Linked DNA regions of Astyanax mexicanus. The protein of the gene in region 1 interacts with the protein of each later gene in a pairwise test. Links are inferred from orthologs where the notes say so. Each region holds a gene or a part of one and is shown on either strand. Other genes may lie near its edges.

What was found.
Region 2: the proteins of katnal1 (region 1) and katnbl1 interact in binary tests that used the Homo sapiens proteins (3 or more experiments, as listed by UniProt). The two-hybrid records come from large-scale screens. The link is inferred for Astyanax mexicanus from reciprocal best matches to the Homo sapiens genes KATNAL1 and KATNBL1.
Region 3: the proteins of katnal1 (region 1) and cytochrome c oxidase copper chaperone interact in binary tests that used the Homo sapiens proteins (3 or more experiments, as listed by UniProt). The two-hybrid records come from large-scale screens. The link is inferred for Astyanax mexicanus from reciprocal best matches to the Homo sapiens genes KATNAL1 and COX17.

What each region holds. Positions count from the first base shown.
Region 1 is NC_064427.1:14,351,254-14,362,383, forward strand, and holds the start of katnal1 (katanin p60 ATPase-containing subunit A-like 1), read left to right. Parts: upstream 1-6,856; 5' UTR 6,857-6,967; exon of another isoform or gene 6,968-6,995; intron 6,996-7,565; 5' UTR 7,566-7,651; coding exon 7,652-7,813; intron 7,814-8,001; coding exon 8,002-8,162; coding exon of another isoform or gene 8,163-8,199; intron 8,200-8,465; exon of another isoform or gene 8,466-8,570; intron 8,571-8,644; exon of another isoform or gene 8,645-8,954; coding exon of another isoform or gene 8,955-9,049; intron 9,050-9,612; exon of another isoform or gene 9,613-9,675; intron 9,676-9,712; exon of another isoform or gene 9,713-9,967; intron 9,968-10,004; exon of another isoform or gene 10,005-10,244; intron 10,245-10,286; exon of another isoform or gene 10,287-11,130. Other genes in the region: hmgb1a (high mobility group protein B1a), read left to right, coding at 3,750-3,896, 3,997-4,142, 4,260-4,434, 4,661-4,807. UniProt on the Homo sapiens protein: Regulates microtubule dynamics in Sertoli cells, a process that is essential for spermiogenesis and male fertility. Severs microtubules in an ATP-dependent manner, promoting rapid reorganization of cellular microtubule arrays.
Region 2 is NC_064408.1:76,334,244-76,345,316, forward strand, and holds the start of katnbl1 (KATNB1-like protein 1), read right to left. Parts: upstream 4,825-11,073; 5' UTR 4,624-4,824; intron 2,707-4,623; exon of another isoform or gene 2,635-2,706; intron 1,937-2,634; 5' UTR 1,926-1,936; coding exon 1,809-1,925; intron 1,686-1,808; coding exon 1,648-1,685; intron 1,494-1,647; coding exon 1,223-1,493; intron 703-1,222; coding exon 587-702; intron 454-586; coding exon 403-453; intron 195-402; coding exon 105-194; intron 15-104; coding exon 1-14.
Region 3 is NC_064418.1:25,448,673-25,459,310, reverse strand, and holds cytochrome c oxidase copper chaperone, read right to left. Parts: upstream 4,996-10,638; 5' UTR 4,899-4,995; intron 4,877-4,898; exon of another isoform or gene 4,793-4,876; intron 3,469-4,792; 5' UTR 3,453-3,468; coding exon 3,334-3,452; intron 3,100-3,333; coding exon 3,015-3,099; 3' UTR 2,992-3,014; intron 1,008-2,991; 3' UTR 846-1,007; downstream 1-845.

The DNA.
Region 1 (11,130 bases):
TTTTCTCATATGCTGCTTTTAGCCAAATTAAATATTTCGCCCACTATTGCATTAGGACAGCTTTACTCATAATAATTTATGGTAGCGAATTTTGACAAGATATTACAAATCGGCAGACCACAGGATCTACAATGCGACAGCAAAAAGCTACTTCAGCGCCACCGCGTGTAACTTATGTGTATTGCAGATAACCCACAGCAATAAGAGGATCTACATAAACAAACCAAGCAAAAAAATACACACACATTTTTCGTTGTTTTTTTATATTTTTCATGTTCTATTTTGTAACCTCAGGACCAGAGCCTCAATGTGACTGCAATTCCCATACATAAAAAATAAACGTTTTTTTTAATTATACATACACTGCTCAAATAACACAATTCAATCAGGAAATTAAATTAACAAAAAATGTATAATACTTGTGTTTCATTAATCAAGCTGTCAACGCACCCCAAACACACACACACACACACACACACAGATACACACACACACAATGTCTGCAATATATAACACCATGTGCTTCGTGTGTACATGCGCATATGTTTGTTCTGAAGGCAAGCAGATTGCTGCAGCTGCTCATCAAAAAAACATTAGCACAGAGGGGCTACTGCTCCCCTTCAGGCTCCCCCTGCTTCTTATATACTGCTGTCACCGTAGTCCCTAACAATATTCATTTGCATAATTTTCCCAAGAAATTTTAATTAACATGCACTAGCCTTTCTTTTCTTTTACAGATTATTTAGCTTGTTTATTTATTGTTTGTATGCCTATAGTGTTAAATTATTGTGATAAATTACTCAGATTACTTTTTTTCTACAAAGAAAACATGAACAAAATGTAACTATTTGTAAAGTATTTACTATGGATATCACGTACATTACAATGACAGTTGTATGCATGTGTATAATCACAAATAATATTTTTTTCCAGAGACAATGCTTTAATATAATTTGAAATTAAAATTAATCAGTAAACAAAAATCTATTAACTGATGACAGACAGTGAGGTGCAGGTTGACACAAAGACAGATAGCTAGACAGACAGCACACAGGAAGCCTGACATATTAACTGATATTTGTTATTATTGTACACTTAAACTTTAAAATTCACCATTTAGTTTTTAATTTATTTAGTGAATTCTCTTAGTAAAGGTGCATTAGTTTACACACATTCAGCAAAAATGGCCTACAGTCAAATTTCTACAGTAAAAGATTGTAGGTTTCTCAATGCTTTTGAACATTTGTTGAATTTAATAAATCTAATAAAACAGTCAGATGCTAATGCAACTAAACTAATTTTTATGTAAATGTATTGAGTGCCCATACATTGACTCAGTTCAACTAGTATGTTTAAAAGAAAAGAAAAAGGAATAATCGGTGTATATCTTATTTTTCTGCATTTGTTTATTAATCACGTCGGACAGTCATAAGCATTTGATTGAAACTGTTCTGTTAATGGCTGCATCTTTTATACTACTTTATTTAAAACACATTTGGCGTGTTGGCACTAAAATATAGAAATCTGTGATATAAAAATATTTTTTAATACAGTTACATACTCTGTTAATTTGAACTAAACAGTGTATGGAGGGCGAGTTCAGCGAGGAGTCAGATCGCATTCATTCAGTATTTTGTATCACATTACAGCGCTCTCTACCACACTCCACACAGACCCGTTGATTCAGTGTTCCGTATGGCACTCACAGAACCTAGTAATGCTATAGCTTACACAGTGCACGGTATCTACCAACACACTGCTTCAAGTTCAGCACAGAAACACAGCGTAGTTTGTATTAACCCGCCATTTAAAACACTCGTGACGTTTCACAAAAGACGGCCAATCCGAGTGGGTCTGTTATTAGGACAATGGAAAGTTTTCGACCAATCGGCAGAACGTTCGGCTTGGCGGTAGCCAATAGGATGCGAGCCCTACTGAGAGTAATGTTACAGAGCGAAGAGCTGAGTGAGAAGACTGCGTATCGCTATTACCTCCACACAGCCATTGCAGTGCATTGAGAATCAGCACCAGCCTTTGGAAAGTGTCAGCTATATAAATTTGGAAGTGTGGGTAAGTACAGAATTGTATGGATAACGAAAACCTTGTGTAAATTTTAAGCAAAATCTAATGTCGAGATTAACTGCATATTTAATTTTATAAACGTTAAAAAAAATTCCGTGAATTTAGACCGTGTATTATCATCTTATTGAAATAAGCGTAATCTTTGCTAGATTTACATTTTCCTGTAAAAAAAAATAAACAACAGTCTTGCCTAATTCTGATTATATTTAAAGCCTTGACTGCCAGATTTCTACATGTATTAAATGTGTTCGTTAAAACTAACGTTCGGTGCAAAGCTAGGTGAGTGAATTGCGTACAAACAAGGTCTATGGAAGGTATTACTGGCAGCTAGCAAGCTAGCAAGTCAGCGTTAGCCTGCTAGCTAGCCATTGCAGTGCATAGCCGGAGATGTCAAACATGTGAAGAGAGTTGGCTGTGGGAAATAAACAGAAATAAAAAACGTACTGAGGTAAAAAATGAGCTGAATCGTGCGCTGGGTGCTTGTTTGTTCGTGTAATCGGTTTTTGTGTAATGATGAAGAAATTGATGAAAAAAATTACCTCAGGATCTGCGCTTTACTGTAATGGCTGACTGTACTCGCATAGGAAACAAGGCGAAGCCACAGAGCCTGACACAAGCGCAGTTCACTTCAACTTTTTCGAACCGTGTTTTCTATTGGTATCTGCATTTAACCGAGAGATATTTCGCCAGAAAATAAAAATTCAATCTTTCGTTGTTGCAGTGAATGCGTTTTTTTATTTTTCCGTGTATAGTGACGTTGTTAAAATCTTAGTTAAAATAAGGTGGGTACCGCGGTCGCTCTGCCCCCTATTGCATGCAGTGTAATGGCTGAGCATTGACACAAAGAGAAGGAGCCATATTCTCAGTGTTAGTGGATGAAGACAAGCGGCCATTCCGAGCCCACAGCAAACTCTACACAGCCCGTACATAGACTTACTACAGACCTAGTGTATTACTATACACCGGGCGAGTGCATAGGGTTTTATGAAGGAGAAATTTTGTCAAGAACACCGACTTTCGCCGTTATTTGTCGAATTAAAAAGCGAACAGGAAGGCGGGTGGAGACATTTTAGGAGGACTTTCTTTCATGAAGAAGGCTTTCTCACAAAATGGAAGGAGAAATATTGCTGTCGTTGTTGACCTCCTTTCCCTCAACAAGACAGCCTGTGCGCCATTGCTATATATGAGTACATAGAAGAAATCGCTCTTTTCAGTGGACAGTATATTGGATTTTTTTTAAAACATTTTAACAGTTTTTTACCACTTGTACAATGTTATGCCTAGATTAGCACGCACAATATTTTTATCAGTTTGGTTGTTTTTACTCTTATTACCCATTTTCAACTTCGGATCTTAGTTTTATTCGATGTTATCATTACTTTAATTTTAGCTTTTATTGCAACTTTTTGTGTTTTATAAACATTAATATGAAGCTTTTCGCAACATCGGGATGGTAAACAGCTGATCTGTTGCCATTGCAAGTTTATGTTTATTCAAGGAAACGGAAAAAATCTTGCGATCTCTCTACACACAGACTTTGCTGAAATGTGAAGCACTAGGTGCACGGAGGTCTCAGGTGAAGAGTCTGTGTCTGTGGTCGTGTACAGATGGATGACATGATGCAAAATATGAATTCTCTCTTTTTCCGTTTTAGGGATATATTGAAGATGGGGAAGGACCCAACGAAGCCAAGAGGAAAGATGTCCTCTTATGCCTATTTTGTTCAGACCTGTAGAGAGGAACATAAGAAGAAGCACCCTGACACTTCAGTCAACTTCTCAGAATTCTCTAAAAAGTGCTCTGAGCGATGGAAGGTGAGCTATATGTGTGAAGCTATGTATGTGATGACCTCTAAGCAAAATTAATTTCTCACCTGCATGAGTATTAAAAAAAACTTTATTGTGTCCTACACAGACTATGTCAGCCAAGGAAAAAGGCAAGTTTGAGGAAATGGCTAGACTTGACAAGGCACGTTATGAGAGGGAGATGAAGAACTATGTTCCTCCCAGAGGTGAGAAGAAGAAGAGGTTTAAGGACCCCAATGCCCCTAAGAGACCCCCGTAAGAACCTTATATTACTTTAGTTTTTAGTCTTGGCTGACATACATGCATCAGTTCACAATGTCAACTGTCAGAACTATGCTAAACATATTTTGTCGCACTTTTGACTATTTTTAGGTCAGCCTTTTTCATTTTCTGTGCGGAATACCGGCCCAAGGTAAAGGAAGAGACCCCAGGTCTGTCTATTGGAGATGTGGCCAAGAAGCTTGGAGAAATGTGGAATAAGACTTCTGCTGAAGAGAAGCAGCCTTATGAGAAAAAGGCAGCCAAGCTGAAGGAAAAATATGAGAAGGTAAATATCACTAAATAATCTAAATAACCTAGTTATTGATTAGATTGATTAGACGTTTCAGTATTATTGTTGTCTCATAAACAATACATATTTGAAAGCGTTGTATTTTTTGATAATCCTATTAGAATATTTTTATTTTAGCCTATGCTAAATGGTTCGTCAGACGTTGAGATTTTAGTTTTTTTTTTTAATTAAGATTGACCCAAGTTTTAAATACATTTTTAAGGATATTGCTGCATATCGGAAGGGAAAAGTTGTGGGGGGTGCTGCAAAAGCCCCCAGTAAGCCGGACAAAGCCAATGACGACGACGATGATGACGACGACGATGAGGAAGACGATGATGATGATGACGAGGATGATGATGATGAATAAATTGGTTACAAATTAGAGCTTAGCTTCTTGTTTATAAAGCATTTAACCCCCCTGTACACACTTAACTGAGGCCATAAAATGGGTAAATGAGGTAAAACTAAAGGGAAAAAAATAAAATTATGGTTGTGCATATGATATGGGTTTTAAGCTGTACAGTTTTTCTTTTTTCCCCTTTTTGTATAGTAACACTACAAAAGTGTCATTTGTGTTTGTTTGTATTTTTTTCCCTGATTTTTCTCTTTCTCTCTCTCTCTCTCTCTCTCTCTCTCTGTTATATATATATATATATATATATATATATATATATATATATATATATATATATATATATATATATATATATATATATATGGCGCACACACACACACACAAATTTTTATTTTTTTTATTTTTTATTTTTATAAAGTTCCTTATGTAACGGTAGTTATGCCACTGTCCTTGCCCAGTACAGTCTAAGGGGGTTGAAAAAAAATGGCTTGGCGTTGATGGAATTTTAGAGGTGTGCAGCACACAACCTAGTTTAATGTGAGGTTGTAGTTCATATCTTTAATGTCTTTATTTTTTCTTTTTTTTTCACATCACTATCATTAGTAAATTACCGTATCATACAGTTATTTTACTGTACTTTGAATACCACTGTAATTGCCACAATGATTAAAAAAAAGAAAAAAATGCAATTGTTTCATTGACATTCTGGTAAGCTTCTGACATCAATAAACCTTTTTTTTAATAATTTTTTTTTCTTTTAAATTATTTTTAAGCGAATGAGAATACTTTTAATATTCATTTTATATAGTAAATTCATGGGTCACAGAATAATCTAAGTTTAAATTTATGTGTATATATAACTGTCATGAGCATTAATGTAAGGGTAAGTGAAAGATAAGTCTAATGTATTAGTGTGTGGTGTATATGTTTAAATCTAGATATTGCTTCATATTACTGAAAGGCTTGAAATGTGTTTATAAAAGCAAGAAAATATGTATTAATTCCGAATAAACGGCAACCCGCTGTTGGCTTCTTCAAACCAGACCACATACAGTGTCAGGCTTTCTGACCTTGCTTATTTTGTAAATGAGGGATAACAATGACCTGATTAATCATATTACAGACATCACACTTTTAAATATTTCAATGCGTTAAGTAAAAAACAAAAATTAAATAAACAGCAAGTGTTTTAGTGGATTTTGTTTCAGTCTAGCTCAGGTTTTATTTATCTCATGGTGTGATGTGCTTTGATTATAGTGACTGTGCCAATTACAAAAAAAAACAAAATAATAAAATAAATGATTGATGTGATAAGTATTGATATGTTACAGAGTATGTACTAAGGAATGCCCTGTTTATAGCTTGCATTTACTACCCAAGTCTTGGGTTCCCCCATGTTTCTTTGCAGAAGACCTTAGCTTCTAGAATATTCTAAAGTTGCATTGCACGAACAGCTTGTCTAGTTCTAATAAAAAAATGACAGGGGAACTTGAGGGTCATACCAGAAGCTTGTTTGTGTCTCTTCAGGTGGTCTATTATGTATTTTGAGATAAGCCTATTGTCTGTCTAATTATTCTGTTGTAAAATCCTCTTTTCAGCTTTAAACTGATGGTTAGACATTTAAGATTTTTAGTGATTTGTGCATTTATTTTTTTCATATCCCTTGCACCACAAACATCACAACTTAAGAGGATAATAGGTTCATCTCATGTATCACAGTTCGGCAACATGATTATTAAAAGTCCATTTTATCCACATATAAAGACTGTATTTGCTTCTCGTGGCAAGTTCTGTTCTGTTGTAGTTCTATTCGCCTCAGTTTTGTGATAATGACTTCTCTGAAGTCTTTCAACATGTTTGTGTATGTAACAACGCAGTGGAATGACGTCATATGGGTTTTTAGGGATATTTAGGGTTCATGCATTTACTTGTTCTCCCAAATAAGTCAGGTTTAGGATATTTTACAACTGGTTCCAGATAAATATATATATATATAGATACATAGTTATTTTCCAGTTTTTGCAGCAATAAAGGACTGTTAAGTTGAAGGCCTCGCGGTCACCGCGGTTTGGCCTCGTTTCTCTGAAGCTCCGCCTCTCTATCCGCCTTCCGACGTTTTTCAGTCGGCGTCTCTCCGCGGCCATGGTAACAACAGGGCGCTACGGTCTGCGGGTAAGAGAGATTATGGGTTATATTTGAGGTAAAAGCTTTTACATTATTTAAATGTATCGTATAGTACAGGGTTAAACTGAGATTTTAAGGCGTGCTTGACCCTAAATCAAATTTAAGCCTTTTTTTTACCATGTGTATTCATAGTGTTTTTGCTGGCCTAACCGGGGGCGCCTGATGGGAATTGTAGTCCATTAACTGAAAGAATCACTCAATTGTCAAAGAGAGTTCCGTCGATTAAACTACAAATCCCAAGTCAAAATTTAGCTCGTTTTGAAAGTGTCGTTGTATTGTGCTGTTTGATTTCGGTCGTATTTTTGTGTTTATATTGATTTGATGCATATTCTTATTGTTTTGCGCGTTCACAGGTTTAAATATTAGTTTTGAATGCACCAAACGCTAGCTAGGTTAACTAGTTATTTAAGCTACATTTTAAAAATTAATATTAAATACGGCTTGGTTCTTTGTAAGCGGGTATTTAATAATTTAGTCCTGTTGGCGTCAATCAGCGCTGAATATGTTTACTCACAGTTCCTAACTGAAGCTTTTCTGTGGCCTAATTATTGTCCTCCCCTTTCTGACTGCTGTGGCTTATTTTAAGGGACTCGCGTCAACAAAAGCACCTTCAACACAAGCAACCCCAAGCCCTCAGATTGGATCCTCACATTCTTTACACATTTTTACAAAATGAATCTGACTGAGATCTGTGACAATGCTAAGAAGGGAAGAGAATATGCATTGCTTGGCAACTATGACTCCTCCATGGTGTACTATCAGGGTGTTCTCCAGCAGATCCACAAGCACTGTCACTCTCTTCGAGATCCTGCACTGAAAGTTAAGTGGCAGCAGGTGAGCACACAGTTTGTGTATCAGTGAACTATGTTGTTGTAAGTTAAATGATGTAGAACAGGTCCATAAAACAAATGTAAAACGTAATACAATTATACAGCCTTATCTGTCAAATGATTGTTAAATGTTTGATCTGATATAGCTAATTAACTTGATTTAATTTTGATATCTTTATCTGGTGAGTGCAGGTGCGACAGGAGCTGGAGGAGGAATATGAGCAGGTCAGCAGTATCGTTAACACTCTGGAGAGTTTCAAGGTGGATAAGCCAGTTGACTTTCCCAATCCCCAGCCAGAAGAATGCCCTAGGGACCCTGCTGTATGGCCACCCCCTACACCTGCAGAACACAGGTACAGCTAGCCATGCGTATCCACCTGCAGAACACAGGTACAGCTGGCCATACGCATACACCAGCAGAACACAGGTATAGCTGGCCATACGTATACACCCGCAGCACACGTACAGTGGGCCATACGTATACACCCTTAGAACACAGGTATAGCTGGTTGTACGTATCTACCCACAGAACACAGATATAGCTGGTCATACGTATACACCTGCAGCACACGTACAGCAGGCCATACATATACACCCGCAGAACACAGGTGCAGCTGGCCATACGTATACATCTGCACTGCAGAACACAGGTATAGCTGGTCATACGTATACACCCGTGGAACACAGGTACAGCAGGCCATACGTATCCACCTGCAGAACACCGGTACAGCTGGCCGTACGTATACACCCGCAGAACACAGGTATAGCTGGCCATATGTATACACCTGCAAAACACAGGTACAACTGGCCGTACGTATACACCCGCAGAACACAGGTATAGCTGGCCGTACAGATACACCTGCAGTAGACAGGTATAGCTGGCCATATGTATACACCTGCAAAACACAGGTAAAGCTGGCCGTACGTATACATCCGCAGAACACAGGTATAGCTGGCCATATGTATACACCTGCAGAGCACAGGTACAGCTGGCCGTATGTATACACCCGCAGAACACAGGTATAGCTGGCCGTACAGATACACCTGCAGAAGACAGGTACAGTGGGCCATACATATACACCCACGGAACACAAGTACAGCTGGCCATACGTATACACCCGCAGAACACAGGTACAGCGGGACATATGTATAAACCTGCAGAACACCGGTACAGCGGGCCATACCTATACGCCCACAGCACACGTACAGCGGGCCATTTGTATACACCTGCAGAACACAGGTACAGCTGGCCGTATGTATACACCCGCAGAACACAGGTATAGCTGGCCGTACAGATACACCTGCAGAAGACAGGTACAGTGGGCCATACATATACCCCCACGGAACACAAGTACAGCTGGCCATAAGTATACACCCGCAGAACACAGGTACAGCGGGACATGTATAAACCTGCAGAACACAGGTACAGCGGGCCATACCTATACACCTGCAGAACACAGGTACAGCTAGCCATGCGTATACAACCGCAGAACACAGGTACAGCTGGCCATACGTATACACCAGCAGAACACAGGTGTAGCTGGCCATACGTATACACCCGCAGCACACGTACAGTGGGCCATATGTATACACCCTTAGAACACAGCTATAGCTGGTTGTACGTATCTACTCGCAGAACACAGATATAGCTGGCTGTACGTATACACCCACAGAACACAGGTATAGCTGGTCATACGTATACACCTGCAGCACATGTTCAGCAGGCCATACATAGACACCCGCAGAACACAGGTGCAGCTGGCCATACGTATACATCTGCACTGCAGAACACAGGTATAGCTGGTCATACGTATACACCCGTGGCACACGTACAGTGGGCCATACGTATACACCTCTAGAACACAGGTATAGCTGGCTGTACGTATACACCTGCAAATCACAGGTATAGCTGGCTGTACGTATACACCTGCAAATCACAGGTATAGCTGGCTATATGTATACACCCGAAGAACACAGGTATAGCTGGCCATACATATACACCCACAGCACACGTACAACAGGCCATATGTATACACCCGCAGAAAACGTGTACAGCCGGCCATTCGCATACATCCATAAAACACAGATACAGCTGACCATACATATACACCCGCAGCACACGTACAGTGGGCCATACGTATACACCCGCAGAACACAGGTATAGCTGGCCATATGTATACACCTGCAGAACACAGGTACAGCTGGACATACGTATACACCCGCAGAACACAGGTACAGCTGGACATACGTATACACCCGCAGAACACAGGTATAGCTGGCCGTACGTATACATCTGTAGAACACGGGTATAGTTGGCCGTGCGTATACACCCGCAGAACACACCTGTAGATCACGGGTATAGCTGGCTATACGTATAAAACTGCAGAACACAGGTATAGCTGGCCATACATATACATCTGCACTGCAGAACACAGGTATAGCTGGCCATACGTATACATCTGCGCTGCAGAACACAGGTATAGCTGGCCATACGTATACACCCGCACAGGTATAGCTGGCCGCACGTATACACCCGCAGAACACGTGTACAGCTTGTCATACGTATACACCCAAAGAACACAGGTAAAGCTGGCCATATGTATACACCTGCAGAACATAGATATAGCTGGCCGCATGTATACACTGTGCACATGTAGCACATGCCACAGCCTCACTTTATATCTAAGTAATGTAAAAGCAATTAAAATATGTCATGGTTACCAGTGTACTGTGATGTGCTTAAGCAGTGTGTTATTAGTGATATGTATTATGATTAATTTGATCTAAAATAAATATTCTATTCATGATATAATAGAATAACCTACAAAACCCTACATTTACTGTTGCCAAACTATTTATATTCATCATTTTAATTATATCATTTGCTTTCAGAAATGTACCTGCAGTGTTTGTCATGAATGCCTTAATTTGTTTTATACAAGCTGCTTATAATTTATTTAACAAATTAATACATAAGCAGGTTTTTGTCTGGTAGGATAACCGTTATAATTCCGTGTAATTTCCCTTTGTAATATATGAAACTCTTTATTCCCAGTACATCTGGTTTGTAAAACCTTCTTTTAACATGTAGTAACAGCATTTAGCAGCAGCATACAACTATGTGGGAATGCCTGGCTAAAATTTCTGTTAAAATATATTTATTGATGCATTGTTCTTTGCATGACTGCTTAAAATATTGTTTACTGTTATGTAGGTAAACAAACATACAAATAAACACTATAGACTATGATTATCTAATAGAGGTTGTGTCCATTTATTGTAATTATCGTTACTGGCCCAATCAATTCTTTTACTTACAAG
Region 2 (11,073 bases), on another chromosome or scaffold:
CCACAATGAGGTGCCTACATGAAAATAAACAAATTATAACAAAAAAATAATTAAATATGGGTACTTCCACTTGGAACTGATTTTCACAATAAAAAATAACTTACGCTTCAAATTTACTGAGAAGAATTGTCTTCACTTGTGGAAAAAGGTCTACACAACAACCAATGGATATACATTGCTGTTCGTCTTGAAGGCTAAAAAAAAAAAAAAAAAAAAGAAAAATATAGAATACTGTTAATACGATTCAGAAGTAAACTGTTATTCTACTATCTTAACTATTCAATGCAGTGCAGCAAAAATTATTAATTTTATTTCTGAATGCGTAATACTAAATATATACACACAGAGGGCGAGGGGGGGGGGGGGGGGTACTTTATGGTTTTCACAGTTTGTTTAACTTACCTTTTTGTAAGTACAGGTAGACAATCAACAAGGACCCCAGTGTCTTGTATTCTGTACAATAATACATAAAAAAACAACTTACAAATTCTATTGCAAATACACCTAATACAACACAAATGCAAAAATCCTTTTTTTTTTTTTTATCAAAGGTGAAAGATGACTAAACAGTCTGTAAAATCTTTACCTGATCAAGTAAGCCACAAGTTCACTAGCATTTCTTCGCCAAAGAGTTAAAGCAACATTTAATCTGAGATTCCTTCCAAACAGCACATGAGTCACTGCATCATGATCCTTTGATAACTTTAAGGGAAAGAAAAATGTTATTAGCATAGACATCAAAACATTAATGTCTGTCAATAGGATCAAGCCTACTAAAGGAATACTGCAGTAATTTTCAATCTCATTCTTCTGCATCTGTAGTGCACAATAGATCACCAATTTAAATATTTTTCTATTAGGGATGTGATAAGACTCATCTCACAAGATGGGACACGATATTCACACGAGTTCATGAGAATAAGATGAGATGAGATTTTAAAAATCTTTATATACACTTTATTTTAAAACTGAAATGTATAAATGAAAATATTGTATTTCACTGAACGAGATCTTGTCACATCTCTACTTTCTATAATTAAATACTTCTATGTTCCTGAGTAATTAAAAATTGATTTTTATACTTTTAGATAGACAGATTTTAAGCAAGCTATCTGTTATGTTGTGTTTCCAAAAAAAAAAAAAAAAAAAAAAAAAAGTTTAGTACTATAATTTATCACTTGTTGATCTGCAGCTTCCCTTAGTTTATTCAAAAGGAACTCACCTCAGTAAAGCAGTCACTATACTTGGAGCCAGCTCCTGCCATTTTAGAGGCTTCTGTCAAGTTCACAGGGAACCCACAGTTTTCCTTATAGTGAATGCCATCAATGTCCTCGGCACATGTCAGTTCATTTTCTTTGTTTGCCATGTCAGAGGACCTGCCTGCTGAGGGTGCTCTCCGGCGTACACCAGAGCCCACTGCTGAGAGACGTGTCTTCTTGCTCACCACTCGCTTTGCTTTGCCGTAGTTGTGTGCACAACGTCCCACTGGAAATCTGTCAACAAAGCAGAACCCTCTTTAATGCTTAGTGACAATGTTTTCATCATTTTGCTTCTTTCAATTTAGAAACTGGGTTATGGCTCATCAATTCATCCCAACATTGAGATAAACAGATCATCATGCCCTTATTGCCATGGCTCAAAACTCACCTTTCTTTATTTATTTCTTCCTTATTTAAATAATCCACCTAAAAAGAGAGGATAGGCATACTAGTATTCCTCGAGTCGGCAAAAGTAGCTTTCACTGCTTTTAGCCAACATTTCCCGTCATAAAACTTGCAGTTCAGGGATGTCAAAATGTGTGAACTCACCTCCCTCATGTTCTTTCCATCTCCAAGACAGTTTTGGTGTTTGAAAAGATCAAAGGACTGGGCCTGCATGAGCCTGTGGAATTCTGCATCATTCCCAACATGATTTCCAGTGGCCATAATCAAGAATTCTAAAGAACAATGACAAAAATGTACTCAATGCATGGCAACTACAGTTTTTTCATAAGGCATTGTGGTCCAGACATGAAGTAAAAATACCATGAGTTTTATGGCTCAATCTTATGTAAAAAGAATGATTTATACTTTTGTTTCGAGTGAGCACGTTGCCTACACTCTAGTATTTGTAATGTCAAGATGGTGGCACCCGGAGAACTACCTCAAGGTTCTGTGTGTATACCTTGTGTGTACACTGTGTGTCTTTTTTATTTATTTATTTTATTTTATTTATATATTATTTTTAAAACAAAATGCCAGTGCACTTTCAAATTTCTTAGTGCCTCATTTTAAATGTCAGGGCCCTTAGAATTCAACCAATGAAGTGTGAAATGCTATGCCCCCGCTAGCTTTGGAAACCTGTTGGGAGCATCAGCTAAGAGCACTGGAATGCTCTTAGTCAATTTCACACCAGATTTCTTCTTTAAGATGGTTTTAATACTATAAGCATAGATTCATTTCTTATTCACGATGAGAACAACAGCTGTGACTGCTACAAAGAGTTTTTTATTTACTATCACAATCAGTCAGTGATCCGATGTGTGCCTTCTGTTTCAACCTGTAATGTTAATAAGGGTAAAAGGGCTGTAGATTTAAAGGATACCTCTAGTGTAAAATTGACTTTGGGTGTAGTAAAAAATGATAGAGTACTAACCTTTGTTGACTAGCCCATGTTCGTTCTCCCGCAGCTTTCTGAGATCCAGTCATTTTTTAGCAGTTTCCACACCTCATTGGTAGAATCTAAGGAGCTTTGACATTTAAATCGAGGCATTAATAACTTCAAAAGTGCACCAGAAACTTATTAAAAACCCCTGTTTACATCTCACAGCATAACCTAATCTCTGGGCACCCAAGGTTGTAGCTAACGCTACAGGTTCTAAACAGTGGTTTTAATAAGTTTCTTGTGCACTTTTGAAGTTATTAATGCCTCGATATAAATGTCAAAGCTCCTTAGATTCTACCAATGAGGTGTGGAGCTAATCTGAGCCTGGATAACGGTGTAAAAAGCAATTTATCGGGTCAAAATATGCCCCATACAATCCATTCTAAAGCATTTGTGGACAAACTGAATAAAAATTGCTGGATCTCAGGAAGCTGTTGGAGACCGGAGGTGGGCTATTCAACAAAGGTTAGTACTCTTTATCATGTTTTACTACATCAAAAGTCAATTTTACACCCGAGTTATCCTTTAATTAAGTGTTATTAGCACTATCTGCCTTTAATAACGCATTTCAAGCCCAAATTTAATTGGAAAATTGCACTGTAATTTGGTCCAAGTATGACATATAAATTTATATCCATAACCATTTGAGGTAATGTAATTTGTTTTTTAAAGACAATATAATACATTTATTCCAATAACTACAACTTTAAACAATTCTGTATTCCATCAGAGATCCAACACAACAAACTAGGTAGTATCTGACTTATCTTAAGTCACGTACGGGAAGCAGTCCCAATCAGTTTGACAACATGTAGCTAGCGGCAAGGGCCCAGTCTTCCAAAAGCATCTTATTGCATTAAGAAAATCTTAACATGGAGAGAGAGGGCTCAGTGTGAAGCTTGCTCGTCCATCTAAGAATTATCTTAGTGCTAAGAACCTTTTGGGAAAACCAGCCCAGGACTTTACAAACCACTTTATTAATAACGGATTAAGACGTATATGCTAAAGCTAGATACACTTTACTTAAGTTAGGTTAGCTAGCGGTATCTTACATAAGTATTAGCTATAATTAGCCAACACGGATACGCGTCAGGAATATGTAATGTATCTAATTAACGTTAAAATACCCAATTTTGTGAATCAGCTTTGTCAATGTAAGCTAACCATACGTTTTAGCAAGACAGTTAAATCCTGCACGCAGCAATGGCTTAGCTAGGTAGCTAACGCTAGCTAAACTAGCTAGGTTTAAGCAATCCCTAAAGGAGGAGTTTCCAAAACTCAGAAATGGGAAATCCATGCCCCGAATGTATAAATCCACTCCAGGATTTAGTCCCAACTGCATGGCTGGCTGCAAACTGCAGCGAACCCAATCAAGGCAGTTGGAACGAAATTCTGGAGTGGATTCCTCCTGTGTCTAAAACAGAACTAACGTTAGCTCCTCGGCGTGCTAACCCAGCTAAATAACCTAGCGGTAACGTTACATGTTTAGCCGCCATGAGCAAACAGATTTTGTCAGTCTGGACCGAATATAAAACTGCTAATAACAGGTAACCTGAACGTAATTGAGTGAAAACCGGCACTTTAACGTTGTTACGGTAACGTTAGTTAAAACTTGTGGACGGCCGCCCACCGTTCTATTAGCTAACGCTAGCTAGCTAGCCAGTTTAGCTACCTTGCTAATTAGCAGCTATCACGTTCAGAGTCAGCCAAGTAGTTAGTTAGCTAGCTAGCTAGCGTTAGCCAACCTAACCTAGCTACCTAGCTCATACAGACAAAAGACACAGCATTATTTCAGCTAATTCATTTTAATCTACCCCAGCCGAGACACCCACGAAATCAACTAAATAACAACTCTTCACTACTTCTCTATGCAGCTAGCCAACGATAACAGCTAACTAACTAACCTGTGGTACCGTAGTTACACAATAACATATGGCTGCTTAGTCCCTTCAAGTCTGATCATAACGAAGTTCTCCTTACCATGGCATTTTTGTCAGTTAAGCTCAGTTTCTTCAGCTTCCTACGGCAATATAACACGGTGATAATCTGTGGATGAAACACCAGAAAGGATGACAGCTAGATTTTAATGCACATTCACGAACTGGGCGAAGCCAGCACCATTCAAATAAATACAAACTTTGGCTGCTGGGATTGTGGGATTGAGGGGAGTCTCTGGCGGACTCAAAACCAGGAGCAGGCTGGAGTTTGGCGACCTTCACCGGCGAAACGTGGAAGAGCCTGAAATTTTAGCGTCGTCTTTATCTCCATGCACTTGACTAGAAATTCTATTTCTGATGTGACATTTCCTGTTGCTAGATTTATTGTTCGTCTTTATTTGATAATATACAATGGAAAAAGTATTGAAAATCACAAAAAAATAATAAAAGAAAAAAATACTGTAGTAATAATAATAAGGTGAAAAGGTGTCATTTAAGGTTATACAGCTCTGGAAAATATAAACAGACCACTTCAGTTTCTGAATTAGTTTCTCTGATTTGCTATTTATAGGATATATGTTTGAGTAAAACAAACATTGTTGTTTTATTCTATAAACTACGGACAACATTTCTCCCAAATTTCAGATAAAAATATTGGCATTTAGAGCATTTATTTGCAGAAAATGAGGAATGGCTAAAATGAGTTTTAAGAGTCCAGAAATGAATATTTGGTGTATTAACCCTGTTTTTTAATCACAGTTTTCATGCATTTTGGCATGGTCTCCTCCACCAGTCTTACACACTGCTTTTGGATAACTTTATGCCACCCCTGGTGCAAAGCAGTTCAGCTTGGTTTGATGGTTTGTGATCATCCATCTTCCTCTTGAATATATTCCAGAGGTTTTCAATTTCAATTTTTTTGTGGAATAGAGAAAGAACAAGAAACTTGTTGAAGACAAACTTCTTTTCAGTATCATAGACGGTATCATAGACATTTAGATCACTGCTGGTGAATCAGATGACCTTAGAAATGGTTGAATTGGGTGAGTGGAAATGACCACACCTTCACACCTTCACACTTATTCTTATTGTTGTTTTACATATGTATATATATATATATATATATATATATATATATATATATATATATATATATATATATATATAATCTTTATGAACTTGGCCTTGGAGGTGGTTTGTACTTTTATAGGAATCAGGAAGGTCAGAGTGTTCTCATTAACAATGAGTAATGAGGAGAACATGACCCTGAGTGTCAGAGAAGCTTCACTGCTACACTGCTGTTCTGGGACCAGTGTATATGAACTAGGAGACAACAAGCTATCTGAAGTGAGTCAGACACTAAGTGAAGTGTTGGAAACCTCTTCTCAGAAGAGGTATACACAACGTAAAGTTGTACACATGCAGGCCAGATGACCTTACCATTTACACTTATCTTCTGCTTCATCTTCTCAGAGACTTAAGGAAACCTAAGGACTGTTTGTATAAGTCTCAGTCCTCTGTGCCAGAGCTTTGGTCATCCAAAAAAACACTAGCTAGCCAATCAGCATAGGGTATGTTTTTACTAAACGACCAGCTGGTCTTGTCCAAAATAACATAGAATACTCCCAAGTAAATTATCATTTAATTTAAAACTTTCTGTACAGACAGACTTTGTGGACACACTTCATTTGAATGTTTTACTCCAAGGCAAACCTTACACTGAAGCTCTTTATATTATGAATTGTTTTGTTAAATGTCATTGCTCATAAAATCTGACATTGCTAAGAACCTTAAAATATTTAACAGTAAGTGAGCTGACACTGGAATCTGGATGAAAAAGCCTACATTAGGCCTCCTATTCAGACAGCCACAAAAATTCACTCACCACTGTTCAGTGGGGCTGTTTAACCATAGCCTAGACCCTACTGAGAATTAGAATTTGATCCTAATCACAAAGATCCAGCTGCAGAACAAACATGCTAGGCTTTCAAATTGTAGTGGTTTAGATCACTGTTATATAACAGAAACTGACTTTGAATTTAATTTGAATTTTAGACATTTTAGGTCTGTTTGACTTCATGAAAGATTAATAGCAGATTTGATGTTTATGCTAAACATATTTTTTTTATTTTAAATAACAGTATTAAATGATTGACAGTCTGTGGGTAAAGTTTTTAAATGATGCGTAACTGAGGATTTCTATTATCTGTGCTGGTTGGCATTTTGTGGCAGGATGGGAGCAACTCAGTATTTCAACACAGCAAAAAATGAATAAGCAAAAATATAAAATGTATATAAAACTCAAGATGTATATGCTTATATTACACAAAATCTCCCAGTTGAATAAGCACATTTTTATTAATAAGATTTCCTAAAATAAGCAATCTCAAAATCTTTAAAATAAGACAAGTATATTCCCTGTTTTTATATCATACATTTGGACACAGGAATCAGAATAACTTGACTGAATGGCAAGTTCAAATCACTTAAAATCCTTAGTGAGAATAAGGGGCTTTGTCCCACAATAATTTTACATTTACAATGATTGGTAAGAGATAAATTCAATCAAAAAAAAACAACCAAACATATTTAATCTCATGAACATGCAGTATTTTTATGAACATGTAAACTCTCAAGTATTATGGTGGACAGGAACTGACATGAGTATAAATAAATAAATGCACATTTAAATTAATAAATCAATACTCCTATTCATGTAGCTTGCCATCAGCTGCTGGAGCCCTGAGAGAGAACAATTGGTCTTGCTCCCTCCGGGTGGGTAGATGGTGCTCTCTCCCCACATTAGTAAAGGGTAATTTCTGCAGCACAAGGCATCTGTAAACTGATGTACCTGAACCGAGTCGCTGCACTTTTCTCCGAGTGCACTGTGATACTACTCCACAATGCTGCATCAGCAGCAGCTCGAAAAGAGGATAGGTAGCTGACTTCACATGTATCGGAGGAAGCATGTGCTAGTCTTCACCCTCCTGGTGTGCTGGGGCATCACTAGTGATAGGGGGAGTCATAATGAGTGGGTTGGGTAATTAACTGAGCAAAATTGGGGAGAAAATGGGGAAGGATTAGAAATAAAATTGTATTAAAGAAAATTTATACATCAATGAATAAATAAAAAAAATAGATAAATAAATACACAAATAATTGTATAGATAAATACATTAATTAAAACACACATTTTGTCATGAAAAAGTACACACCTAAAACCTAAAATTCGTTATAACAGGAATCTATTTCCATATTTTCATGCATGAACCTTTATTTGGGTCTGTTTCTACATTTCTGCATTTATTTATACTATTTTTGATTGATGTTTTTCTACATTTATTTGTTTCTGCATTTCTTTATTTATTAATTCATTTATTTAGTTCAACATTTTAACATTTATTTATTTATTTTCCCCCCACATTTCATCATTTATTTATTTCTTTATTTCGTTTGTGTGTTTATTAGGTAGGCGGTCCTATCCTCACTCTAAAGCAGGATTAGTCAACTGGTGTTTCAGACAGAAGCAACCGGTTTCTAACTCTACTGTTAGGTGCCGGCCTTTCTCTCAGATTTGTGTGGTTTGTCAGTGTTCTTAGCTGATTCATGTCCATGTGGGGAAAAAAGAGAAATATAATTAATAGTCAAAACATTAAAAATAAAAACATATTGCGAAAGCTTTGAGGACCAAAAGGCACAGCATTCTGAAAATGACCTTTATGTAAATGTTAATAACCCATCGAACCAGGACCTTCTGAGAGGCGAAGCAGCTAGCTAACATGGATGAAGAGATTATGTTACTACAATGTGCTGGACTCACTGAGAGCAGTCATCTCTTCCCCTTAATCCCGTATCCTGCTTTTTGCCCTGGTGATTACGGAGGCCGCTTGCACGCTGCAGTCCTGGGGACAGAGTGAAAAGGCATGTTGCTCTTGGCTGTACTTCCAGACATCAGAGCTTAATATCAGTAATTGTGTTTGCATTACGTAAGACTGTTTGAAGTGATTCTTCTCACAAGTGCTGCTCTGTTCTTTTCGAGGGCAGGCTGCCACTGCTGAGGCTTAGGGCCATAGCTTCTATTTCGCCTTTGACCACAGAGCGGTCTCCTATGATACGCCTCAAAGCCATAGAGGAGTTTAGTCGCACCATAGCGTTTCAGCAATGCCTGAGGATTCAAAGGGAAACAACTATTGCCATTAAAAACAAATGAAAGGGGCACAGTGATTTGTGCATGTGTTTCTCTTCGGCACAAGTTTCATGGACCATTGCTTTTTCCCACTACTGAATACTACTGGGAAATTAAGAATAATTATATCACTGGGACAGACAGTGCAGACAAAAAAAAACAACATTTTCTATCAGTGATTTATTGTGCTTTTACAAATACGCTCTATGACAAAAGTATCAAGGCACCCCTTCTAATCAGTCATTTAAGTTTATTTAAATGACAAGAAGCTCAAATGCACACACAAACATACACACACACATTTTATATAATCCCCATTAGAAATGTCTTGCTGGCAGGGCAGACATTTGCATGCAGTATTTTAAAATGCAAAACACAAGCCCATTTTTATTCATTTAGAATTATGATGACTATTAAAGTTCAAGGTCATAATGCCCAATGTTAAAAGGGATAAAAAGCCCTCAGTATTGATGGACTTCTGTCCAATGAATTTGGGATGTGTCAAAGTGGTGTTTGTGATTCAGAATCACTGATCATCCAACATTAGTACCTGACCTCAGTAATAACATTTTGTGGCTGAACACAAGCAAATACTTACAGCAACTTTCCAACATCTATGTAGGACTTTATCAGATGTATACAGCTGTTATTGCAGCAAAGAGGGAACAATTGATACCCTTGCTTTCAGAAAAAATGTTGGACATGCTGGTGTCTACAGTCTTTTGGACATTAAGACCCAGATTAAGTCTAATCCCAGACTGAGGAGAATTTCCAGTGGAGATTCCCCAATGATACTGCACTTTAGCCCAAAAATACACTTAATCCATGTCTGGGAAACTTGCCCGTCTCTTACTCTTGTGCAGCAGGGCTCTCAATGCCTACAAACTATACTGTTTAAACTTGTTTAGAAAGAGGGGCCATTTAAATAGAGCTTTTAGTACACAGCTGTCAGTTGCACCAGTCAACCAACTGCTTGAATGCAATTCAGAATAGTAAACAGCTTCAAATGCCAGATGTTATTTCTGATGGCTTTTTATAAATGGCCATTTTTGTGTACCATTGCTTGCAGTTTCTTCTTTTGTTCCTCACCATGTTTCTGGAGCAGTGTTTGGAACAATAAGGCAGTGTTGAATGAAATGGATGGAGTTCAGCTCAGGATAAGACAATTTACACAACATCTGTGATGTATTTTGAGGTGTCACTCGGCTAAGTAGGTGGTATTTAGTACAAGCAGCTGATCCTTTGTTGTAGTGTTGCAGTGTTGGGCAATGTGGAAAAAAACACAACATCCTGCTGACACTTTGAAACCTAAGCCCTTTGTTGTGCAGATCACAATATACATGTTTATATTTTCTGAGGTTTGTTAAGACGGATTAGACAAAGAAATAAGAACCGGAAATGTTAGTATTGGATCAGGCCACAATGTTCTTCACCACAAGATGGTAGTGTAAAGCTGTAGAGTCTGTTGTGACCATGAAGGAGCTCTGCAGTTCTGCAGCTCCCACTGTGAGCTTTTACTGAACTTTCACTGAGCTTTTACTGAGCTGTGAGACTGCCAGAGCCTCCCCCACGGATTATAGCTACTGTTTAGGAGCCTGTAGACAGATATAACTGTGCTTAGGTTACACAGTCTTATTCAATGTTCTCTGTATGATCCACTCTCAGGTCATTCAGTACATTTGTTTAAATTAAAATGTATCCTCAAAATCCTCATCCAATATGAAGGGGTTATGAATAAGGATTGCATCAAGAGTTCAACTAATTATATGTTACATAAACATTTTAACCCTAACCACCGACCATATTTGTCTTCAAAAACTTCTGACCTCTATGTTAAAAAGCAGACCTACCTATAATCAGTGCAATTCTGAACCTATGTGAACCTGTTTTTGATATTGTGCCTCAATGAATTTTAACTTCAGGGTAACATATCTATATTAAATAAAACACATATGATTCCTTTACATACATACACCCTTAATTTTGGGGAAATGTATGTTTATTTCTAAAACGCCCTCCACCACACCCAAAGCAAACTCAAATAAATTCACTTTACTAGTGTTTGTGGGTCTGGGTTGCCTCAGCTTTCCTTTCACTACCAGTGCCTCTCCTGAGTGAGGGTTAAGGGTCCAACGAGGCCCAGCTGGGACCGGTTCTGTGTCCTAGCATGGAGTGGACCCACAGTTCCCCCGTCACCTCACGTCACAGTAGCGATCACAGCTTGCTTTAGACTCACTGAGCTAGACTTTCAGTTGTAAAAAGAGGGCAGATTGTTCGAATCCTGTTCATGTAGCTTGCCATCGGCTA
Region 3 (10,638 bases), on another chromosome or scaffold:
GGCCTGGCCGCTGCAACTCTATTTTAGGCACATGAGCATAGTTAAGAGGAACAGCTGTCGTCACCAGACAAACTCTGAGGAAAAGCCTGTTAAAGAGCTGCAATCCAGACACTTTCATACTGTCACTGTGTATTTTAGGAGGAAACAGGCAGTTTACCTAAAATGTCACCCCACAGACACTGCTGTACAGTGTCAAACAGACTAACAGACTGTCACTTTAAATACTAAACTACTTTAAAGAAAATCTAAGGTCCAGAGGATGGTTAAAGAAAAACTTTTCTTATTTAGGCCTTTATGCAGCCTTTTACACTGCATTAACAAATTATTTTACACCAGCCAGATTTCACTAGAAACTAATGTTAATGATCTAACGTAATGCTTTTACTAATCATGTATTCATGTGACATGGGAAAAACTTTTAAGATATGCTTGTGGACCTGACCTGCATTTTAAAACTATGCACTTAAAACTAGCCACTTAAATCAATCTACTGAGCCTAATGTTAACCTGGCTATTACAATTATTAACCACAAACGTAGGTGTTTTTTTAGATTTAACTGTTTTTAATTTAACTATGTACAACATTATTCTGTCATTATAGCATAAACCATTATTTAAACTATTTTTACCATTAAACCATTACTTAAACTATTTAAAATTTAAAAGTGTAAAAAATTTAAATAATTCTACAAATTTTACCCAAGTATTTTATAAGTATGTGGACTTGTGAACTCTGAGGTTAAACTTTCCTCTCAGGTGTTATTTTTACCTTGTGCAGGCAAATAATTAATTTAATCAAATTAATTTAATCTTAAAATAAAACTTAAAAAGAAGATGAAAATGCATAACATTGCATAGGATGTTTATTCATCATTTACAGAAATATTTGAAACAAAAATAGAAAAATCACATTTGTAAAAACCAAAATAGAAAGAAAGAACAAAGAAATCTTCCCTCTGTAGAATAAATAGAAGTAGTCCAAACGCCGATCCACGGTGAGCTCTGCCCTGCAAGAGCCGAAATACAGATTTATTAAATGAAAACCAACAGCTGTTTCAACAGAACACATTTACAACTGCTAAACACAAATAGCAGCATGGTCATGTGACAGGAAATATGCTGATGCTGCATTCTTAAACTGCTGATAACACTATACAGTGATGAAAACCCCACCCAAACTGATTACAGGGCAAAATAAGAGATTTTATTAAGTAACTCTTTCTTTTAAACCCACATACACACACTCCATTTTACAGTATACTCTATGGGAGAACTTGTGTAACAATTTGGAAAAAAGCTGGAAACTCTAAACTCTAGAGAAGCAAAAGTAAAATGTTCAGCAAAACAGATTTACACAATCTCCACTTCCCTGAAGTACAGCTGGTCAGATGAGTGGGATTTATTAATGGCAGAGTTTAGTAGAGGTCAAGACAGAGCAAAATACTTCAATTTATCAATGCTGCCATTTATAGACCAGATCTGCCAAAATGCCATACATGCAAAAACAACTGAAAACAACTTTACAATTAAAATATTACGAAATAAAAACTGTATTGTTTTAAATAAATTTATAAAATCATAATTATAATTTAATTAATAAGTAAATATTGGTAATAAATAAATATTTAAATAAGTACGCCCAAATAAGTTGATTTATATTTATTTTCAATTACTTATTTCACTATTACTTTTATTATCCCTTCAGGCAGACAACAGAATAGAGCCCTTTCAAACCCGTGGCAAATATTGCTTTTTAATAAACTTACTTATCTTTTCCTCTCTAAAGAATACTTCTGTTATTGCAGTTTTGTTTACAGTCTGTTCAGCTGACTGTCATGACTCACATGCAGAGACTACTGCTGCTACTGTTATTACCCCAAGATTGTGGCTGATGATGGTGCAAGACTTATGCAGACAGGAACTGTGACACTTTTTGCTACACTGACTTGCTTGGGCAAGAGTCATCTTGGTTCTGTTGCTTAATAGATCTCACTTTTGCTCTGAACAGTGATGTTATCATATCATACCACAGCGCTTAAACTACAGCTGCAGCTGTCAAGTACTAAACTTCAATGTTCCAAAGTAACAAAGTGGAGTCCTGCTAACAAAAGCACAAAAAATAAACCTAAAAAGAGGCAATTGGTACCATTAGCTTTAACTTAAAACAAGGTAGCTTTTATGAAGTCAATTTAATTAGGCATTTAGCATCACTGGTCATGCTTGATACCAGTTTACAATTTCTTCAAAAGTTGTGTGAATTTAAAGAGCTGTGTTTTCATGATAACTTGGCTTGTTTTCCCTGTGTTAGTCTGACTCACAAGTGACTGGAGCAGAACTACATGGGTAAATAAGTAAATACAATATTAGAATAGCACTTCTGAGGTAAATGTGTGACTAGAATTGCACTGCTTGTCTGCTGAGATATTAAACATGTACAAGGTTTATTAAATATGTTTAAATTAAAACTTTTTAAATTGCTATATCTATTAATTTATTTAATGGCTAAAAAGTGGCAAATTTAATGAAAACCATGGTCAAATATTTTCATTTTAGTGCAAGTAAAAAATAAATACATGCAAACTATGAACAAAAATAAATATTTAATCTTTTTGTGTTTACTCCTGCTATGACATTATTCCCAGCTAAATTTTATATATTTTCATTCATCAATGAAATCATTTATCATTTTTTTATTTTATGCCATATCTGGTGACATTCAAATAATTTAAATTATTTTTTTTACTTGACTTACACTAAATATACACATAACACACAGATTAATATATTACTATATATATATGTACAAGTGACAATCAGTGTGAAATGTGTTCAATACTTAATGGCAGGCACAAACTTAAATCATTATATCATCAGTTACATGAGTTTGATGACTTCAGTCTCAGAATAATATAGCAAGTTAAAAAATGACAATTTGAAAGTACTACTGTGTACTAATGCACGTCATTTTGTAATGATAAAAGATACACCTACCATTTATTTTCACACCTCTGATGTTATATTTTAAAGCCAAGTGCTCTCATACACTCCTTGTGTGCCTCAATGAGATTTGTGCAACTTTCTTCCCCCTTCTCAATAATGCTGCAAAGAAAAAATACTATACATGAACCACAAATGCCAAATATAATAACACAGTTATTATTAAACACAGTAGATTGTTGTTAAGAAGTGAGAACTACATTATTAAGAGCTACTAACGTCATTTTGCAATTACTCATTAGCTCCTCATGTCTACAGCTGATTTTAAAAGCCTAATTTACAACTTTGTATGTCAATACACAAACTGAAATCTGACTGTACTTCCAATGTCCTTACCAGGCATCCCTGGCTTTTTTGGTTTCTGGGCATGCACAGCATGGTTTCAGAGGCTTTTTCTCTTGTGCCCCCTCGATTGCAGGGGCAGCCTCTACGCTGGCAGCAGATATGGTCGACATTATCTTTCTGAAGAAGCTGTAAAAGCAGAGCAAAACAGTCTTTGGTTAATCCTACAGTCTTACATAATGATGTTCATTAAAAAAAATAAATAAACTTGACAGTTACATAACAAGGTTCACCAAACTTGCACATACACTCATTGGCCAATTAACCTTGTACTTCTACCATACAGAAGCACTATTCAGATTTTAAATTTCTGATTGTAGCCTATCTGGTCATTGTTTTCAGTTGCCATCTATCATACTGATCAACTGAAAGGATTAATCATAGGCCCACTGACTACATTATTGGAACACCATTCTCAGCACAGCAGTTACACTGGCCTGATTACTGACATTGGGAGAAGGATCTGGGCTGATCTACTGTCTTGTGTGTCACCACACTGTATTAGTTCAGTAGTTCATGTTATTTACACGATGAAAGACAAACCTATTAATAAAACAATGTGTAATAGTATTAGGATCACATATGCAGGTATGAAGCAAACAAACAAAAAAATCAAAATCAAAAAGTCAAAATATGTTATACTTTGGATGCTTCAAAGTAGCACCTTTTGGCTTGATGCCAACTTTGACCACTCTTAGCATTATTCTCTCTGTTGACTTAATGAGGTAGAACCTGGAATAGTTCTCCAACTGTCTATAGGTTTAAAGTTAAAGTTAAGCTTAAAGTTCTAGGTTGTTTTATTTTTGTAAGGTGTTTGTAAAGGCCAAACCTCTCTTTTTTGCCTATTACCTTACTGTAAGTCTTCTGTTATAGTTGTATGTCTTTAATATTAATCAACAATGTAGAATATAATACATATAAACAAATATTAATGAGAATGTGAAGGGTACTCTATACAGCAAATACATACAATTTAGAGAATCAATAAAAGGAAAAAATATTGTATGGTTAAATTAAATCAAATATAAAAAGACAAATGGGTATATCTGAATGAGTAATAACAGTATCATGATAACAGAATACAAGTAAAATTAGATATTAACTCGACAATGTATAATGTACATGAATCTGTAAAACTGCGTTTAATACAAACCACACAACACTAAGTTACACATATTAACCTTAGCCGTTAAAAAAGTTATTTCTAAGCAACCGGTTTATTATAACTTTAGCTTATCTGCCCCAAAATGTATATACACAGCTGGGAGGCAACAAGTAGTTAAATTCATAATTAAAATGAGGGAATGTCCGCTAAACCTCTGAGCAGGTTTATAGTCAGAAATCTGTCTCTCTTCAGAATCCAGTTGGGTTAACCTCTAACAGAATCACTGGCTGATGTAACCTAAACTAGCAGATGTTTAGATAAGCTGAGCTCCTGCGCAGATCACAGTACCTCTGTTTCCGGCTTCTATCAGCCTTCCGCTGCTTCACATGTGTTTCTAACGACTGCGATCTGCGATTATAGGAGATATTAAACAATCGATAAACTCCACACTTACATAAACAGCAGCAGCAACAGCAGACAAAGCGCGACCTTCCTCACACAGCGTGGAGCAGCCTGTACAACATCCGGGGTACTCCGGGGAGAACCTTTCATCAAAATAAAAGTCATTAAGTCACATGTAACGTGCTATTTCAGCGTGCAGTGACTTTGATCCTTTAATGATGCGTTTAATCACTTTAATGTACAGTTTCATATGTTTTTTAGAAAATAGTTTAAATTACTAGTTAAAAATGTTAAACATCATGTTAAATCAGCGACACATGATAAAGCAGAAAGAAACATTGCAACAGAGTTAGTGTTTTCTTATGTGTGGCAAAAACTCGTGTCACGATTTTATTTTCCTCTATAATTTTTTTATTTTATTTTAGATTCAGCGCTGTCCTGTACACGTGTTTTATGCTTCTGGTGGACTCTGGTAGGCATTTTGTGTACAGCTTTAGAGAAAATCAAATACATCAGAATCTAAGATACAGATTAATTGCGTTATAATGATCTGATTAACTTAAACAAGTTCAGGATAACATGTGATAACTTGTGGGCACACATGAGAACAGTACACTAACACTGCTGCTAGTCTTATTTAAACTAACATTATATCAGTGTTCTCAAGTCTCACGCTTTGAGCGTGTGACACACGCACCTCAGCGATGTTAACACGCTCACACGCCACACATGGTATTTCTCACGCTTGCGAATTCATCGGCTGTATATTATAATGTACTCTCGTTGAGCCAATCAGAATATAGATCACTCTGTTGTTAGGCAGACCTAGTCAAAGAGGGTGGAGTTTTAGCCAGAGTGTCAGGCGCAAAGAACTGTTCGATTGGAAAGTTCTGAAACACACGTCGGTGAACAACTGAAGGAGAACGGTGGCAAGATTTTTCAGGTTCACTATTTTATGTCATTAAATTAAACTTTAAATGCAACATTTTCGGTCACTGGTAGACACATTTGTGGCCAATGTGTGGCCAGTGCTACGTTGGTCCAAATAGTTCCTTAAGACGTGCCAGTCGGTGTGCCAGTTGCCGTAAGATGTAAGATACAGGGTCAAGGTTCTTGTATTCTGGTCCTTCCATTAAAATGAATAGCTTTCCCTTCTCCCAACAAACCTGATTCAACTAATCAGCTCATTAACAAGCGCTTTAGAGATTCAATGGGTTTGTTGGTGCATTGCCAGTCAGCACCCAGCTGAAAAAGTAAAGTAACATTGGCAATAAAATAGACAGGTATCATTTATTTGCATATCATTTGTACTTTAGATTTTATCCATTTACAATAACCCCCCCCCCCCCCCATAAAAAATTTGCTTGTCTATCAACGATGGAAAAAAGTTTCATTTAATGTAATAAAAAAGATAACCTGAGAAATCTACATTAATGGTACGATACAATTATAATTGACATGCACAAGAAACACTCATGAAATCAATTTCATATTATAATGAATGTCACGAATCCCAATAAATTGTCCGGGGAATGTATACATAATGTCAAGATTCTGAACTTGAGAATGCTGTCCCAAAACGACAGGTAGTTTAGCTAAAGTTTTGTTCAGAATTCCTAAACTACAAGCCTGGCTGATTCAGCAACAGAAAGGATTTTGCTCACTAGGTGCTCGGTACCCAAAGGTCCAAACCTTGCAAACGTCATCCAAACTCATCATGTACAGTATTTGTAATATTGCAAGGTCACACATATTGTATTTAGCTCTGTGAGCTGCTGCTGCTGCAGCTTTTCTGAGTCCAGAGTCCATTAAAATGAACTTTTTTGTCAGTAGGTGGCAGTTCCTGAACCTGGAAATGAAAATCTCCATGGACTTGGTCATTGTGTTATTGGTAATAATTTTAAGTTTACACAGAACATTTCTATGTAATATTACTACTTACTGAATGAGCAATTTGTTAGGAGAATCTGTACAATTAGTCAGTCATGCAATTAATCAGCCAATCATGTGGCATGAGAGCAGTGCATAAAACCATGCAGATGCACAGTGTATTATTAATTACAGCAATATATCACAGATCCCTTGCATTTGTTTCATTGCACTTAAAAACGATACAGGGCACTGTTAAACTGGAATCAGTTCCCTGCTACAATCACAGGTATTGTGAGTCCAGTGGGGTCTTTCCAAAGTGCAGAAGCAGAGTATTTTCTGTATGTAGTCAGAAATAACCTCAAGGCTGCTGCACACAGCAGCCATAAGATTTTGTCAGCTTAATACATATTTTGACTGCTGCATGCTTACTGTAACTTGCTGCACTGTAACAGTCTTTACATTAAAACAATAAAAGTAAATGCGACAAGAGAAAATTAAATGTATTTCTTGTATTGAATGTTAAAAGACAGGACAATGCTAGAAAAAGGATGCTAACAAACTTTTGACCATTAATACTCTAAAGGACAACCATCCAAGAGTTGCTTTACAAAGCTTTTCAACCACTTTAACCATTTAAAACCAGTTACCAGCAAAAGCTGGTCTTGAGCTAGACAGGCAGTCAAAGAAAAGACAGCAGAGAACAACCATAACAACAGTTGCACAAAGACCGTTAGGGAATATATTTTCAGTAGTACATAATAAAATGATCAGTATGGGTCATCATATATTAAGGAAACATGGAAAGTTCAGTCCAGTATTTTATTACTAGAACTGTGTGGTATGTCATGGAAATCTGTGTGGGTGTGGTCTCTGTCTCCTCCTGCTGCTCATTTCCAACACTGTAATCCTAAAGTGGGAAAGAAGCCATGGAAGCTAGCAAGCAAATCTTAGCTGCTACACAGACTAAATATTCTTGGCATTCATTGAAAAAGCTCAGTGATCAAAGACAGAATAAAACAATAGTAAATATAGTCTCACAGAGGGAGAAGTTTTCGAGCTCAGAAAGAATACAAGACGCTGTGCTGCTACTTTTCTCCTGAACAGGTAGCTAAGTTACTTTGGCTAAATAATTTATCATAACCACTAGGTTAGCTTTCTAAGGACAGGTATTTTAATTCATTTAAAATTTTGAGTGTCATTTAAAATTTTCAGTGGTCTGTGTGCAACTGGGATAACAAGGCAGAGAATACTTGAGATAGCTAATGCTAGCTAGGTTAGCTAATGTCATCTGGACTATGCTGGCTAACCCTGCGTTCACAGTAGAAAGCGACGTGACAGATGAACATTCATTTTCTATGGCAGGGCTGAGGGACAAGTGACACGGAGTTTAAATGTTCTCAATTTTATGCAAATTAATTATTAATTAATTATGACACAGTGAAGCGACATTCTAACTTGATTTACCTGATTTCTTTCAACTTATTACATAGGCAGTCTGAGGTCTTCAAGCTTCTGATCTTTAAACTTTTGGTTCCCTTCACATTTTCTTTCCACCACACAGATATAGCCAAGAGTCTAGCAAGCTCGGGAGTCATAGCTGAGGTTTTGCTAGTATTGACCCATGCCCTTTACTGGGCAGAGAAGAAGAAAAGAGGGGGAGCGAACTCAGAGTATTTGGGCTGGAGTTCGGGGCAGCTTCGCTGTAAAGCGTGAAGCCGAAGCCCCCCCCCTCTCATGAAGAGAAACATGAGGAAATAGAATAAAATTAAAGAAGGAGGAAGATGGGTGTTACAGATGAGAAGGGTGGACGTGAGTAGGTGCAGATATATAATATTTCAATTTAATTAATAAACAAGATAAATGAAAAACAGAAGACAAACACGGATAGCGCAAAAAAACTAAGAACTAAGAAAACTAAGAACAAAACTAAGCTAAACAAACAAGAATAACTAGAATAACTAGAAACTAGAAAACTAGAATAACACTAAAACAAAATTAACAAACTTGGCACACTTACTTAACAAAACAGACCTGGACTGAAGAAACAGATTCAAGGAACACAAACTACAAAACTGGTACATGCAAATACAGATGACACAAAAAGACAAAAGACTCAACAAGAAAACACTCATACAAGGGGCTTTTTATACACAAGGAGGGTGAGGACTAGTAATGAGGGGGCGGGGTTACAAACAAGACACAAGGTGACAACAATGGCTAGGGTGGGGCTAAGGCGGAGACAGGGAGGAGACAGGGACAAAAACACAACAGTAGCACATGGCTGGGAACACATGACAGGTAAACAGAGCAGAAGCACAAGGGACCAAATGAGGGAGAAATACAAGACAGACATGGGCTAAGGTGTGACATTACCCCCCCTCAACGGCGCCACTACCAGAGGCGCCGAGAGAGGCAGGGAACAGGGGAACAAGACAAGACAGAACTATGACAGAGGAACTCAGAACAAAAGAGGTGACTGGACTGTGGATGGAAATAGAGACTGGACTAAAGACAGGACAGGGGGCGGAGACTGGACAGGGGACAAGGACTGAACAAAAGACTGGACAGGGGACATGGACTGAACAAAAGACTGGACAGGGGACATGGACTGAACAAAAGACTGGACAGGGGATAGGGCTGGACAAAAGACTGGACAGGGGGCTTAGACTGGACAGGGGACACAGATTGGACAAAAGAATGGGCAGGGAGCTTAGACTGGACAAAGGGCTGAGCCTGGACAGAGGATTGGACGCTAGACTGGACAGAGGGCTGGACACTAGACAGGGACAGAGACTGGACAGGGGGTTGAAACACAGACTGGACAGTGGCCGGGAACTGGGACTGGACATGGGGCTGAACACTAGACAAAAACGCAGATGGGGTAGTGGACGGGAACAAGGACTGGACAAGACTGGACAGGGGAACTGGGACAAAAACATTGACAGGGATGGACACGAACACAGTGACATGAACAGGAACTAATACAGGGATAGACACGGGTACAAATACACTCATAGACTGGAGCCCAGGACTGGTGAGGTTCAAAGTCTTAGGGGCCAGCCTGGGCAGAGTTTGAGGGGCTGGAGCAGGAGACCTTGGAGCAGGTCTAGGAGCACACGACCTGGGGGTGTGCTTAGTTCTGGGAGCGGGCACAGGGTCAGAGGGGGCCGGAGCTGCGGGCACAGGATCAGAGGCGGCCGGAGCCGCGGGCACAGGGTCAGAGGGCACCGCTGGCACTGTAGCTGAAGCAGTGGGTACCACATGGGCGGCAGGCACTGCAGACATAGGAGCAGGAGCGGCGGGCACCGCTGGCACTGGAGCTGGAGCTGAGGCAGCAGGTGCTGGAGCTGAGGCAGCAGGCACTGCTGGAGCTGGAGCTGGGGCAGCAGGTGCTGGAGCTGGAGCTCAGGCAGCAGGTGCTGGAGCTGAATCTGAGTACTCCTCTGCCAAATCCTCCCCACCTCTGTAAGGATTATCTGCTACGTCCATAGTAAAGGTCGAGTCTTATGTTACAGATGAGAAGGGTGGACGTAAGTGCAGATATATAATATTTCAATTTAATTAATAAACAAGATAAATGAAAAAACAGAAAACAAACAAGGATAGCGCAAAAAAATAAGAACTAAGAAAAATAAGAACAAAACTAAGCTTAACTAAACAAACAAGAAACAGAAAAACTAGAATAACACTAAGAACACAAAATTAACAAACTTGGCACACTTACTTAACAAAAGAAACCCGGACTGAAGAAACAGATTCAAGGAACACAAACTACAAAACTGGTACATGCAAATACAGATGACACAGTTACAAAAGACTTGACAAGAAAACACTCATACAAGGGGCTATTTATACACAAGGAGGGTGAGGACTGGTAATGAGGGGGCAGGGTTAAACAGAGGTAAACAGAGCAGGAGCGC